Linked DNA regions of Oryctolagus cuniculus. The protein of the gene in region 1 purifies or fractionates together with the protein of each later gene. This does not show direct contact. Links are inferred from orthologs where the notes say so. Each region holds a gene or a part of one and is shown on either strand. Other genes may lie near its edges.

Region 1 (5,418 bases):
CCTGCTGAGGAGGGACGTTTTTGCCTTGGAAAACCTGGAGCCTAAAGCATTCACTATTACTGGCGGCAGGTTGATGGCCTAGAAGAGAAGGAATTCTAGGTCAGGAACATTTTGTGCGAAACTGAGGCTGCACTTGGGCATTGGAAGATAAGGGCATTAGAAGACAAGTAATGGCTCGAGCAGGCTGGGCTGCCCTGCGGGGTCCCTGGCCCTGGGCTGCCCCTCCCCCAGCTGCCCTCATGCTTGGGCAGCAGCGCTGTGGCTTTGCCACGAAGCCCTCAGATGAGTCCCCTGGTTCCTCTGTGATGGTTTCCGCTCTCCTCCCTCCTGATCCTCAGCGAGGCCTCGGGTGAGGGGGCATGGCCACTCTCACCAGCTCCCAGGCCCAGTGCAGTCCCCTGGCATGAATGACAGCAGCTGTTTCCTAAAGTCACACACTTAGGAGCAAATTATTCTGACTGCGCCTGTAGGAGCCCACGCGCCCCTCCTAAGACCCCAGGTTTACCCTAGCGGGAAAGGCCAGGACCCTCTCGGTTGCAGCAAGACTGCTTTGTTCTGGTGATTTTTCCCGCCAGCTCTCCTTGGACGCCCTTAGATGACTTCCATCCTCTCCCCTGATCTAGGGTTGCAAAGAGGTTCAGTCCTCTCTTCCCTGCTGCCTACCTCCTCCCAACCCCCAGTTCTTACCCAAACACCGGCATCTGGGAACAGACTCTGGGCCAGAGTAGAAACACTGCGGGGGCGACGCTGTGGAGAAGCGGGTAAAGCTGACGCCTGCTATTCCTGCATCCCATATGGGCGCTGGTTTGAGACCCAGCTACTTCGGATCCAGCTCTCTGCTATGGCCTGGGAAAGCAGTGGAAGATGGCCCAAGTGCTTGGGCCCCTGCACCTGCGTGGGAGACCCAGAAGAAGCTCCTGGCTCCTGGCTTTGGATCAGCGCAGCTCGGGCCGTTGCAGCCATCTGGAGAGTGAAACAGCAGATGGAAGACTCTCTCTCTCTCTCTCTCTCTCTGCCTCTGCCCTCTCTATAACTCTGCCTTTCAAATAAATAGTCTTTTTTAGAAAAGGAAATATTGTGGGAATGGACGACTGGTTTGAACACACACTACCAATCTAGCAGTAGGCATAAAAGCAACACCGTGGTTACTACTAGAATGGTGATGGGAAATAATTTCTTACCCAGCACGGGTGGAAGTGTGGGTAGGGACAGTATAGGCTATCTGTTTTAGTATTTTTTTTTTTTGTGGCGGTAAAGCTAACCAATCATAACGAGCAATTAACGTTATCTGCTATTATATTAAACATACACGTAGCGCTCAAAGGACAGTTACAGGCCGGCACTGCGGTTCACTAGGCTAATCCTCCGCCTTGCGGCGCCGGCACACCGGGTTCTAGTCCCCGTCGGGGCGCCGGATTCTGTCCCGGTTACCCCTCTTCCAGGCCAGCTCTCTGCTGTGGCCAGGGAGTGCAGTGGAGGATGGCCCAAGTCCTTGGGCCCTGCACCCCATGGGAGACCAGGGTAAGTACCCGGCTCCTGCCATCGGATCAGCGCAGTACGCCGGCCGCACAGCGCTGGCCGCGGCGGCCATTGGAGGGTGAACCAACGGCAAAGGAAGACCTTTCTCTCTGTCTCTCTCTCTCACTGTCCACTCTGCCTGTCAAAAAAAAAAGGACAGTTACAATAGTTACAATACACTCGCATTCAAGGCGCGCTTGGTTCTCTTGAGAAGATTGACTCCCTGCGCGTAGAGCGCGGTCGCCCTCTGCTGACGTAGGGAGGTAGCGCGCCGGGAGTGGGCGTTTCCGGGCCTGAGGGGGCGAAGATCTTTCTCACCACTAGAGGGCTCTGGTCCGCGCTACGGAACCCGTTCTTGCCCTCCCTTCTTAAAGTACTTCCGGCCTGATCTCTATGATCCATCCAGTTGGCGGCTAGGGAAGTTCCTAAACTTTTCGACGTAAACAAAAGGGACGTGCGCCGACCCGGAAGTGAAAGCGGGAGCGAGGCCGGCCGGAAGGAAGGAGGAGGCTGGAGGGAAGCTGTAGCCATGGCTGTGGCCGTGGCCACGGCCGGGGTCCTGACCGGGCCGGAGCCAGGCCCCGCGGAAGAGCTCGCCAAACTCGAATATCTGTCTTTAGTGTCGAAGGTGTGCACCGAGTTGGACAACCACTTAGGGATCAACGACAAGGATCTCGGTGAGCCGGGCAGGTCCCTGGGGCCCCAGGGCTTGGGGTTCCGGGGAGCGGAAGGAGCCGAGTGTGGGCCGAGTGGGGTGCGAGTCCGCTTCTCCCCAATTCACGTGGCCCTCGGCCCGGGGAGTGAGTCTGGGAGCCCTCCGAGCCGATCTGTTAGAGCTGTCGGGGAAGCCCAGGGCCAGCCGCTCCGCTTGGTGTTTTGTTTTGTTTTTCAGCTGCGAATAATTGAACAGCTTTAACAGCAGCGGCGGCGGCCACCGTGGTATTTGATGGTGGTTGCCGACAGTCTTTGGGTGCTCCCACTGTGCCACCTGTTCTGCCCAGCTCTCTAATTCCGTGCCTTCCTCGGTCTCAGCGCCACGCTGTGAGATAGCAGTCAGCGATCGTTAGTGTTACGCTGCCTCGCAAGCACCAGTCGTTCGCTGTCCGGTGCAGACAGCATCTGGAGACTCGCGCTGAGCTCCTCGGAAAGTCTTGGGCCCTGGAGGCGATGGACGGGATGGAGGCACAGGTTGCTTGCTTTTGATAGGTGCTGGGACATTCCCCGCCCTGTCATAGGAGGAGGACATAGGGCAGAGATAATGGTTGTGCATGCGGAAGAGTTTAGAGACTAGCCAGAGCTCCGTCGGATTTGTTTTCTAAATGAAGAGGAGGGAGTCGCTAAGAGGGCTGAACCGGGGGGGGGGGGGGGGGGTGCGACAGGAAGGGGTCGAGGAGGGTAGGTGGGTTTCTTCTCTGATGTGAGGTGAGGTTTTCGCAGGGTTCCTAGATTGCACTTAGGAAGGTGCCCTGCAGCCAGTATATTGCCAGCATATATTTTAGTTCATATTTCTCTTGCCTGAGAGAGACAGAGAGAGACAGAGACAGAGACAGAGAGAGAGACACCTTCATCTATTGGTTCACTCCCCCAAATTGCTGCAACTGCTGGGGCTGGGCCTGGCTGTAGCCAGGACCCAGGAGCTTCACCTGGGTCTTCCATATAGCTGGCAGGGGCCCAAGCACTTGGGCCATCTTCTGTTGCTCTCCCAGGCACATTAGCAGGGAGCTGGATCGGAAATGGAGCAGCCTGGACTGGAACCAGTGCTCATGTGGGATGCCTGCGTGACAGGCAGAGGCTTAACCACTGTGCCACAACGCTGGCCCTTTAGCATCTGTGTTTGATAGTGCATTAACTTAACGATGTCCTTATTTAATTCCGAACATTAAAAAAACCAACGTGGTCATTTGGTGCAACAGTGAAGACCCTGCTTGGGTGCCCACATCTCATATTCAAGTGCTGGGTTCGAGTCCCACGCCACTTCCTGCAAATGGGCACCCTGTGGGCAGCAGGTGATGCCTGAAGTCCTTGAGTCCCTGCCACCCATGTGGAAGACCCAGGTTGAGTTCCTGGCCCCTGGCTTTCGCCTAGTCCAGCCCTGGCTGTTGCGGGCATTTGGGCAGTGAATCAGCAGATAGAAGATCTTTGTCTCTTTCTCTTTCAAATAAATAAAAATCAGTTTAAAGATGAAAAAACTGATGATGGCTTGCAGTGTAGATACGCTGCTGATTATTGTGGGATGAGCTTTTTTGAGTATAGCATGCCTAATACCATGTGACTTAGTTCTCTTTCTACGTTTCCCCAAAGCAAGTGGGACCTCCAGTCAGCTGCCTGGGATCTGGGCTTGGGTCCCCCAGTTATTAGTGGGTAGGTTGTTGTCTCCAACTCTCAGCCTTTGATGTAGATCTGAACAATAGTGGCCCCTACTTAGGAGGGCTGTTGTTAGGAACATGAGGACAACCCATGGGAAGCATGTAGCGGAGTACTCAGCCTGTGGCGATGTTCAAGAAGTATTAACCATTGAGGTTGTTATTAATTTGTTGTTATGCATGAGCTGTGTCCGTGTGGCCTGATGGTGTGTGGCTTCCACTTAACATCATCAAAAGGATGAAGCGAATTCCAGCCTGGAGGTGGTACTGGAGTACTGGTTGGTCAGCCAGTTATCTAGATCGCCTGTGTTCCTTTTTCCCTTTTTGTTTTTTGTTTTGTTTTTTGTTTTTTGATTAGAATCCAAATAAATTCAATAAATTTCTTGTGAGGCTGATTATCTCAGTTGGTGAGAAAATGTGTGTGTTTTCTGAAACTCTCTTAGTTAATAAGTAGCTGTAATATTAGACATCTCAAAAACTAGGCAGGTTTGTGGAGAAACATTGTGAGGGCAGGCAGCTCCTTCCTGCACTTGGAGATGGTGACAGCCAGCAGCTGCCGGATTCTCACATGTAGGCTGGATCTGTCCTTCCCGAAACTGTAGACTGTTCTGTTGTATACAACTGTGTGTGTGTGTGCGTGTGTGTGCGCACACACGCACGCGTGGGCTCATGCTTATGTACATTGTCACCTTGAGTCTGCGTGGCGATACGCCTGGCTAGGAGTTTTGAGAGAAAAAGATACAGTGATTTGCAGCAAATAGATTTGCCTAGTTTAAATAAACTCACGGCCTGGTTGAACCATCTTGTAGTAACACTTTCAGTTCATTTGTAAAAGTTCACTGAAACACAACGTGGATAATACCAGTTTCTTTACCCTTACCTGAGTGCTGGTCTTTGGTTTCTGTGACAGTTGGGTAGCATAATTATTTTTATTTTCGGTATACTTGAAACTGATTGCTTGCTCAAGCCTCCATTTCTTATTATAATTCATTTTCTCATTTGCAGCTGAATTTGTCATCAGTCTTGCTGAGAAAAATACCACCTTTGACACTTTTAAGGCATCTTTGGTCAAAAATGGTGCAGAATTCACAGTATGTATGTTTGGAGACTTCTATTTTACTTTACTGTGACTGTTGAATTTAATTTTGGCAGGATTTAATACAGGATTTGGGTACAGGAAGGAGACAGTATGCACATACACTTAAATAAGCCATTAAATGTGTAATGTTTTCACGCCATTCGGCAGCGGCGAAGTGAGGATTTCCTGCAGCACCTTTCTGGGATACTGCGGAGGGATTCCTAGCGTTAAGTCTGTGTGTGTGTTTACATTCCTGTTCTGTGAATCAGGAAGTCGGAAAAGAGTCAAGGTTTTGGAGGTAGTTCTAAACCACGGGAGATAGCATGGTTGGAGGGAACTGAATAACTTGACCCCGGAAAGAGTCCTCGATACCAGTTTTCCCTGAAGCGCACTGTGCCAGATTGGGGATGCACCAGGTTGACATCCGAGCGCCTGAATTCAGATGCATAACCTCCCTTT
Region 2 (5,439 bases), on another chromosome or scaffold:
GCCAGCACGCTGCACCAATCCGAAGCCAGGAGCCAGGTGCTTCTCCTGGTCTCCCATGCGGGTGCAGGGCCCAAGCACTCCGGCCATCCTCCACTGCACTCCCTGGCCACAGCAGAGAGCTGGACAGGAAGAGGAGCGACCGGGACTAGAACCCAGTGTGCCAGTACCGCAGGCGGAGGATTAGCCTAGTGAGCCGCAGCGCCGGCCCTAGTCACTCCATTTGTCCTCTATTTTTTCTAACCAGTTACATTAAGTGCTGGGAAAATGCGTCAGTGCCCAGCCCCCCACCCCACAATAAGTGTAACCTTGCTTGTTCTAGCTTCTGTAACAAATACTTGGCTTTGTAATTAACTCCCAACCAGATGTGGTTTTTGTCTTTATAAGCTTACCCTTGAACTCAATCCGGGCTGCATGATTTGGAAAACACATGCCCCTGTGCAGCCACTGGCTTTCAAAATAAAAACTCCATAATTTGGCCATGAGACTTCAGCCTCTTCTGTAAAAGTCTCGCTGTGTTTTAATCGGTGCACCCCACAACAATACATCCGTAAGTAATTTCTTACCACTTCCAAAGTTGTTGAGGAGTAGGCATTTGATTTGGGGCCGGTGTTGTGGCACAGCAGGTTAAACCACCCTCTGTGACGCCAGCATCCCATATTGGAGTGCTGGTTGGAGACCCAGCTGCTCCGTTTCTGATACGTCTCCCTGCTAATGCACCTGAGAAGACAGTGGAAAATGGCCCAAGTACTTAAGCCCCTGTGACCCACTTGGAAGACCCAGATGGAATTCTGGGCTCCTTCAGCCTGGACAGGCCTCAGCCACTGCAGTCATCTGGGAAGTGAACCAGCATATGGAAGATTCTTTCTTTCTTTCTTTCTTTCTTTCTTTCTTTCTTTCTTTCTTTCTTTCTCTCTCTCTCTCTCTCTCTCTCTCTTTCTCTCTTTCTCTCTTTCTCTCTTTCTCTCTTTCTCTCTTTCTCTCTTTTTCTTTCTTTCTTTCTTTCTCTCTCTCTCTCTTTCTCTCTCTCTTTCCCTTCCTTCCCTTCCCTTCCTTTCCTTTCCTTTTCCTGCCTTCTTTCCTTCCTTTCCTTACTTCCTCCCTCCCTTCCTTCTCTCTCTCTCTCTCTCTCTCTCTCTCTCTCTCTCTCTGTCACTCTGCCCTTGAAAAAAAAAATAAATCTTTAAAGCAGAAGAAGAAACAGGAAAAGAAATAAAGAGAGGAAGGGTGGGAGGAAGGAAGGAAGGAGCCCATACCCTGGGCTGCTGGTGTGGTACAGCAAATTATGCTGCCGGTTGCAACAGCAGCATCCCATATCGCAGTGCCTCTTTCAATCCAGCTCCCTGCAAATGTGCCTGGAAAAGCTGCCAAAGGACTGGCTGGGGCCATTTGAGAAGTGAACCAGCAGATAGAAGACCTCCATATCTCTCTCACATTCGCTCTCACTCTTGCTCTACCTTTCAAATAAGTAAATAAATATTTTAAAAGCAGCAGCAGCAGCCAGCATCCCATATCAGAATGCCAGAATTCCTGACTTCAGCTCCTAATTCCAGCTTCCAGCCAATGCAGACCCTTGAGGCAACAGGTGATGTCTCAAGTAATTGGGTCCCTGCCACCCACGTGTGACACCTGTATTGGTTCCTGGTTTCAGCTTGGCCCAATCCTGGCTGTTGCATGCATTTGAGGAGTGAATTGGTGGATAGGAACTCTGTCTCTCTTTCTGTCTCTACCTCCCAAATTTAAAAACAGTAGAAAATGAACAGAAATACTGATCATAAACCACATATTGCTAGGCTAGCAGATGACTAGTTTAAGGGGCTGGATAAAGAGAGGGTTACATATTCCTTTTGCTGAAGCACACGGGTGGAGATAGTTACTGTAAGAAAAGTATGCAATTTTTCTCTGGGCTGCAAACTTATTTGGAGTGTATCAGGCTCAAGACGTTAACACAGACTTTGTGCCTTCTATGCTACCTGGGCAATACGGAGCTTAGATATCATAGCTCACCCCAATCGCGATAAACTTTCCTAATTTTTCTTGGGATTAGGAAAAAAAACCAAATTATATGCAATATATATTCTCAATCATACATAAATGCATAATTATACACAGAAGGCACACGAAACACATACAGAATTGGATGTGTTGTTCATACGACCACTCTGTGAAATGTATCTTATATTCCGCCATCCTTCTCTTCAGGTACCACAAAGTTCGAAGCTGAGAAAGGACTTTATCTCCTCTCCCCGTTAGTTTAGCTTTGAGAAGCCACTCGGAACTAGAGGAGAGCGTAGACCCAGTTGCCCTACCGGCTTGTTTATACCGATACACACGTCCGTTCAAGTCTGCAGAACCGCCTACGTCCGGGGAAGGGGTTTACCGACGTACTCGAAACGATTCCCAAGGTTCCCCTCAGGTTTGGGTGGTTGTAAGGTGGCGGGATCTGAAAGCCAAGGCAACCGGGATCTTCCTAGACTGGTGAGAGCGCCCCCTTCTTCAGCGACTTCTGGGATCCTGCAGCAGCAATGGCTCGGGTATCCGGCTCACGGAGCCCGGAAACTTCGGGCTCCGGGGGAAAACGTCGCAGTTCGTCGAAGAGCCCCAAGCCCAGCAAATCTGCTCGGTCCCCGCGGGGCCGCCGCTCTCGCTCGCACTCTTGCTCTCGATCCGGGGAACGGAATGGCCTCAGTCACCATGTAGGTGGCCTCAGTCACAGCTCAAGAAACCAGTCCTACCGCTCCCGCTCGCGGTCACGTTCTCGAGAGCGGCCCTCTGCGCCTCGGAGCACACCTTTCGCTTCTGTCTCCTCGTCCACCTATTATGGCGGCTACTCGCGCCCCTATGGGAGCGACAAGCCGTGGCCTAGCCTCCTGGACAAGGAGAGGGAGGAAAGCCTGCGGCAGAAGTGAGTGACCCCCCTCCCCCACTTTTCCTTTTACGAACCCACCTCCCTTTGGAGTCCGATTTATCATTCATTCCTCTTGTGGCCGTTTGTGTTCGCTCATACTTGCCTTGTATCCGTTTTCACCCCGTTATCCAGTCCACCCATGGCGACCCTTTTATACGTCCTTTTATTCCCTTACATTTTCATTCATTATACATTGCCATGGTTTCGTGCTACCCTCTTCCCTCTTCGGGGTTGTTAGCAAACGCGGTCAAGAGCCTCACATCTACCAGATTTATAGCATTTACTTGGTTGTGCCATTATCATTTGAGAGCCCTTTTATTGATTATAGAATTCCCAGTGCCTAGCACTTTGCAAACATGCAACCATTGCTTATTGAAGAAATAGGCTTGATTTAACAGAACACGTAAGTGGTAATGTTTTGTGGGGAATTGGGAAGGTTGAAATCAAGGGTTTAAATTGGAGAGAAGGAAAATCTTCCCCTCAGACAAGGCGATGAATGTAGGAAAAGTGACCTGCTAGGCTGTAGATGAGGCTACCTTGAGAAAGGACTTGCAGAGTGGTCTCGATCTTGTTTGATCATGAAAAATGATATTGGGGTGAGATCAAATTTCTAGTAAGAGTGAGTATGGAGTGGAAAAATGCATGGTTTAAGGGGAAAGGAAAAGGTTTATAATTATTGCTGTGGAAGCCTTTGTCTCTAATGTTTATTAAAGGTTAGATTTATGTATCCAGTACTGTGCTGAGGACTAGACATGCTGTATGTGTCAGAAAATGAGAAATGTAAAAGTATTTCAGGCATTGAGGAGCAAGTTAAAGTTTCAGCAGTTGAGAGGTGTCTTTGTGATTCTTTTGCTAACTGCAGTTTCATCCAGGAATCAGACTGTCTGAAATTGATGTGCTTATTTGGTATTTAACAACAGTGTGAACTTGAGCGAGTTGCTTAACCTCTCTGAGTTTTACTTCTTCACTATTAAAAAAAAGATAAAATTAGTATGAAGGATTTTAGGGTTGTAATAATTTAGTGTTTGGAACATAATAAATACTCCACAAGTGTTAGATGTTAGTTCAGCATGCATGGAAGAAGAAACAGTGAAAACAGTCCTGAGTTAGGTTACTTCCAAGTTAAATTTTTCAGAAAAGTACCCAGAGGCTTTATCAATCAAAAAGCAAATGGTTTCTTAGTGGAAAATCTCCACCAAAATATGTCAGAACTACTTGAATGAAATTTGCATTTGTACATTTAAGGAGATAAGTAATTTATCTTAACAGTACAGATGAAGCCAGGTGACAGCAGGTATGAGAACAGGACTCCAAGCACTGTAGAATTTGGCTGATACTCTTCTCCCTATATGTAAATATTCCAAGTATGTCCCCTTTTAGATTGTATGTTTCTTAAAGTGGGAAATGCTGAGTCTGACTCTGCATAATGATGATATAATTTCCCCCTGAAGAAATAATATAATTTATTCAAACAAACCAGCTATATTTATTTTGTAAGGATGTTTAAAAAGAAATCAAATCACAAACAGCCAAACTTTTAGGAAGTGGGCCTTTTTTTTTTAACTTTAAGAGTAATAGCAAAAATTAAAACAAACCACATTATAAAACAAAAGAAGAAAATTTTAATGTCCTCCAAAGAATAGAGAATGTACTACTTTTCCAAAAAGAAACTAAAGGGAAAACAGAGAGAGAACAAACCCTGTGTCTCACTGAGTACAAGTTTTGTCAAATAAGACTTTTTTTCATTTTTAGAACTTTTGTTTTCTGCTTTTATCAATTCCTGGGCTTCTGAAAGCTGAAGATTTGAGCAAATCAAGAGACTCCTCTTTACTTTCATAAACATCTGAACAAATGAAGTTATTTCCAAATGTAAAACTCTGTCACAAATTGCAGACAATAAAATGAATAATGAATAGTTATATCATGAATTAGGCAGAAGGGAAATACCTTCCAGTCTCCCAGGCTGTCGTTTCTGACCCAGCCACCCAAGCTATTTGTAGTTGCTACCGTTTGATAGTACTATCAGAACACCAAAAATCCCAAGTGATGAATTTAAACCAAGTTTTTATCAACATTTAAAAATAAAGAGAAATTAGACTTAACTGGGATCTTGTTGGATTTGATTATATATTTAAGAACAATTCAACCATTGAGTTATAATTTGTATACCTATACCTTCTAGGAGATTAAGTGAGAGAGAGAGGATTGGAGAATTGGGAGCTCCTGAAGTATGGGGACTTTCTCCAAAGAATCCTGAACCAGAGTAAGTGGTTTCAAAATATTGTATTGTATTCTACTGTTTAAATTCTAAGTCTGTTGCCAAAATTTTTAAGTGAAGAACTTTAAGTACATTTCACGTTTTTCTTCTTTCTTGTCATTTATGCGGTTCTACCCTTCAAGTTTTACTTTTAAAGATAGATTGATTGATTGATTGATTGATTTGAAAGGCAGAGTGACAGAAAAAGAGAGAGACAAAGAGAAAGAGAAAGAGATCATCCATCTGCTGGTTCACTCCCCAAACGAATACAACAGCC
Region 3 (4,648 bases), on another chromosome or scaffold:
TTTTAAAGACCTAAGTTTTTTCAGTGGTGTTCAATTATTCATTTTTTTCATTTATTTGGAATTCTTGTTTAGGAATTTGTCTTATAGCTTTATTTAATATTTCCTTCAATACAAATGTAATAGTTTTTAGATAACATGTTTGTGGTATAAAAAAGAATTAGAAAGGATTTTGTGTGTATTTATTTCATGTGTGGATTAGCCTTTTTAAAAATGTCAGCATTTCGGGGCTGGCGCTGTGTGCAGCGGGTTAAAGCCCTGGCCTGAAGTGCTGGCATCCCATATGAGCGCTGGTTCTAGCCTCAGCTCTCTGGTATGGCCTGGAATAGCAGTAGAAGATGGCCCAAGTCCTTGGGCCCCTGCACCCATGTGGGAGACCCAGAGGAAGCTCTTGGCTTCTGATCAGCACAGCTCCGGCCGTTGCAGCCATCTGGGGAGTGAACCAGCGGATGGAAGACCTCTCTGTCTGTCTCTACCTTTCTCTGTAATTCTGCCTTTCAAATAAATAAATCTTAAAAAAAAGGCAGCATTTCTAGGACTTTGGATCTGAACTGGCATTCCAATATGGGATGTGGCAGCCCAAGCAGTGACTTAACCTGCTGTGCCGCAGTACATGCCCAGGCTTATATTTTACATGAAACCTACTGTGTTATCTTTTTTAAAATATACACAGAATCTTGGTTTGGGGAAATAAAGTTTACTGATTTTTCATCCAAAGCTTTTCACTTTCTTGTCTTTGTAAACTTCCAGAAAATAAACAGGAAAAGAAATAGTAACAGTAAAAAAGCATACCTGCATATACACTTATACTCACACTGTCCGGAAGTTGAGAGGAAGGGGTCTTACACGGAACAGGGGAATGTTGACGGGCACATGCAGCCTTTGTTGTGTGGAGCACTCTTTTCCCTTGATAATTCTTTTTGAGGAGATTGCTTGCACGTCTCTTTCTACTTCACATGCTGTTGTGATGCCCCCTTGTTTTTATTTTGAAGCCAACATTAATGATCAGTTTTCTCTGTTACACAAATGAATGTTTTTCTGAGTTCTTTCTTCAAAGAACATTATTTAAACGTACAGCCTATATAAAAGGTTTTTTAAATTTTTTAAAAAGATTTATTTATTTGAAAGGCAGAGTTACAGAGAGGAAGAGGCAGAGTGAGAAAGAGAGAGAGAGAGAGAGATCTTCCATCCACTGATTCACTCCCCAAATGGCCATAATGGCCAGGGCTGGGCCAGGCCAAAGCGAAGAGCCAGAATCTTCATCCACGTCTCCCACGCTGGTGCAGGGTCCAAGAGCCATCATCTGCTGCTTTCCTAGGCCATTAGGAGAGAGCTGGATTGGAAGTGGAGCAGCCAGGACTCGAACTGCCACCTATATGGGATGTCAGCTCTGCACTCGACAGTTTAACCTGCTACGCCACCGTGCCAACCCCTTAAATTTTTTTTTTTTTTTTTTTTTTTTTTTTTTTTTTTTTTTTTTTTTTTTTTTTTTTTTGACAGGCAGAGTGGACAGTGAGAGAGAGAGTCAGAGAGAGAAAGGTCTTCCTTTGCCGCTGGTTCACCCTCCAATGGCCGCCGCTGCAGCCGGCGCACCGCGCTGATCCTGGCAGGAGCCAGGAGCCAGGTGCTTTTCCTGGTCTCCCATGGGGTGCAGGGCCCAAGCACCTGGGCCATCCTCCACTGCACTCCCTGGCCATAGCAGAGAGCTGGCCTGGAAGAGGGGCAACCGGGACAGAATCCGGCGCCCCAACCGGGACTAGAACCCGGTGTGCCGGCGCCGCAAGGTGGAGGATTAGCCTATTGAGCCACGGCGCCGGCTTAAATTTTTTTTAATTCCTTGTAGTAAATAGCCTCCAAAGTAATTGTAAGATTGTAAGAATTCTGTATATTTGCTTTGTGTTATCTGTGTTTATGTAACATGTACATTATCATTTGTAATTTTTTTTGTAGATTATGTTTAATGAAGAGCTTGGGAATCCTTTTATCATAATTCACAGTATCTCATTGCAAAAAATGGAAGAACATTCAATAGCTATCCTACTTCTTCGAATAGAGAAAGAGGACTTGGATATGAAAGGAAGCGGTTTTTATGTTTCTTTGGAGTGGGTCACTATCAGCAACAAAAATAAAGGTAAAACAGAATTCTAGAAACACTCACCTCTCCACTGTATGCCTCCCACCATGGTTCACTTCATCTAATAGATTTTGAAATGCAGAGCTCTCTCTGTAAATGCTGTTAGCTTTTTCTTGGGCATTGTGTTTGGATTCTTGTGCCTACCACTCCTGGTAGAATGAGTATCTGTAGGCAGTTTTTCTTTCGTTACGGTTGTGGAAAAAATTATTTATTTTCACAGCAAGTAAGCCTTCTGTATAAAAGGAAACATTAATAAAGTTCAAAGAATTTAACATGTGCTTTTTTAATATAAATAATGTATACATTATCTTCCTATGTTAATAAATTTTTAAGTAAATGTAAGTTAATGATACATTACAGTGTAATTTAAATGTAAGTAGGTATGAATGTCTCCACATGGAAATGAATACCTTTATTTTCACTGAACTTTGCCTGTTGTTTCTACCCTCAGGAGAATGGAATGTACCTTTTCTCACCTGGTGTGCTTCCATGTGTTAAAAGGTCCTAGACCTTGGTCTCTGAAGCTGTCAGGCTTCAAACTTGACATTAAAAATCTTTCTTGTGTATTAATTTGAATTTCTTTAATACTATTAACTTGCTCTTCACCTTTGCTTAGCACTTACTGCCTTGCCAAGTGACTTTTTTATTTTAAGATAACTAAGGGACTTGGTTTCCTTGATGACTGTTTTTCCCAGTTTTTATTAGCTTCCTTATTTATGAGTTAATTTAACAAAATATCATTTATTACTATAGAAAATATTTCCTTTACCATAGCTACTAGATTATAATCTGATAAAGGCAATTAGTATTTTTTTACAACAGGGCTTCCCCTTTTATTATAAAATCAACAACAAATATCTATATAGATATTATCTCAAAATAGTTTATAAGTAAGTTGAATAAATCTCTTAGATTTATTCTTTGGAGTACTTAATGTAATTTATTTGTTCTTATTCTCAGGGTTGTAGTTTCATCTCTGGAAGAACACATTAACTTAAGACATTAGATTAAGTATTGGAAATTTTTCTGTAAAGAACGGTCTGATCTATGTCACAAGCTGTTCAACTATGCCACTATGGTACATAGGTAATACATAAATGAATAGGTACTATGTAATAGGGTAATACATAGGCCGGCGCTGCGGCTCAGTAGGCTAATCTTCCACCTGTGGTGCTGGCTTCCCTGGTTCTAGTCCCGGTCGGGGCGCCAGATTCTGTCCCGGTTGCTCCTCTTCCATTCCAGCTCTCTGCTGTGTCCCGGGAGTGCAGTGGAGGATGGCCCGGGTCCTTGGGCCCTGCACCCGCATGGGAGACCGGGAGGAAGCTCCTGGCTCCTGGCTTCGGATCAGCACAGCACACCAGCCACAACGTGCTGGCTGTAGCAGCTACTTGGGGGGTGAACCAACGGAAGGAAGACCTTTCTCTCTGTCTCTCTCTCTAACTGTGCCTGTCCAAAAAAAAAAAATAGGGTAGTATATAAATGAATGAGTATAGTTGTGTTCTAATAATATTTTTGTTTGAACATTGAAATTTGAATTTTAATAGTTTCCATATATATTTAAATAATCAATTACAAAGATAAAATTCAAGGTTAGCTTTTAGGTCATATAAAAATAGTCCTAGATTTGACTCATGGGCCATAGTGTGTAGACTACTACTTTAAATGATAGAAACTTTGCTTTTTTTAAATTAAGATTTGTAATTAATCATCTTTTAAGAGAAATTATCCTGCATATTTCTCCTGCCCTTCTTCAAGGCACTTCGTTCTGTAACAGCATTAGCTCAATCATGCAGTTCATCAGATCTTCTTGGAAAACAGCAGCAATGAACTAGCCCCATCATCTATTGCCTTTATCTTCCTTCGCATGCCTCGACTGGACAGATACATTTGGATTAAAGTTTCTTGTTTTCTTCTTTTTGTTTTTCTTGATTTATTTATTTGAAAGGCAGAGTTACTGGATAAAGGGAGAGAAGAGATGCACAGAGAGAGAGAAAGAAAGAACAAGAGATCTTCCCATCAGCTGGATCCACTGGTTCGCCACCCAAATGGCTGTAATGGCTGAGGCTGGCCCAGGCTGAAGCCAGAAGCCTGGAACTCCATCTGCGTCTCCTATGTGGGTGCAGGGGCCCTAAGGACTTAGACCACTCTCCTCTTCTTTCCCTGGTGTATTAGCAGGATGTTTTTTATTCTTCCAAGTTTTTAGTTGTATTAATTTTCTTTATGGTTCCTTTAATCATTTTCTCTTTAATGTTTTAGTCCTTCCCTCCTCAACTATTACCAGAATAATTGTGTTATTTTGTCTTTTATTTTCTAAATTAACAGAAAACTGTTTTTGTAAACTGTTGGGTGAAATATTTGATAAATTATATTTTGTGGTCAAGTAAGTTTGAAATTGTGGACATACAATATCCCTGTTGCACATTATTCATATTAACTTTTCTAAAGATTTTTAGGGAGATATAAAGTTTTAGTCTGGCAATCCCCATTTACTTAATGATGGACTCTACCTTTCGAGAT

What was found. The genes of interacting proteins can lie anywhere in the genome.
Region 2: the proteins of DHX8 (region 1) and NKAP purify together in Homo sapiens (co-immunoprecipitation; 3 studies listed by BioGRID and IntAct, with this or other methods). This does not show direct contact. The link is inferred for Oryctolagus cuniculus from reciprocal best matches to the Homo sapiens genes DHX8 and NKAP.
Region 3: the proteins of DHX8 (region 1) and NUDCD1 purify together in Homo sapiens (affinity purification with mass spectrometry; 3 studies listed by BioGRID and IntAct, counting the BioPlex papers as one, with this or other methods). This does not show direct contact. The link is inferred for Oryctolagus cuniculus from reciprocal best matches to the Homo sapiens genes DHX8 and NUDCD1.

The regions. Positions count from the first base shown.
Region 1 is NC_091448.1:19,585,842-19,591,259, reverse strand, and holds the start of DHX8 (ATP-dependent RNA helicase DHX8), read left to right. Parts: upstream 1-1,884; 5' UTR 1,885-2,047; coding exon 2,048-2,195; intron 2,196-4,886; coding exon 4,887-4,972; coding exon of another isoform or gene 4,973-4,976; intron 4,977-5,418.
Region 2 is NC_091453.1:73,167,151-73,172,589, forward strand, and holds the start of NKAP (NF-kappa-B-activating protein), read left to right. Parts: upstream 1-1,898; 5' UTR 1,899-2,522; coding exon 2,523-2,902; intron 2,903-5,087; coding exon 5,088-5,168; intron 5,169-5,439. UniProt on the Homo sapiens protein: Acts as a transcriptional repressor. Plays a role as a transcriptional corepressor of the Notch-mediated signaling required for T-cell development. Also involved in the TNF and IL-1 induced NF-kappa-B activation.
Region 3 is NC_091437.1:134,681,634-134,686,281, reverse strand, and holds part of NUDCD1 (nudC domain-containing protein 1), read left to right. Parts: intron 1-1,947; coding exon 1,948-2,128; intron 2,129-4,648.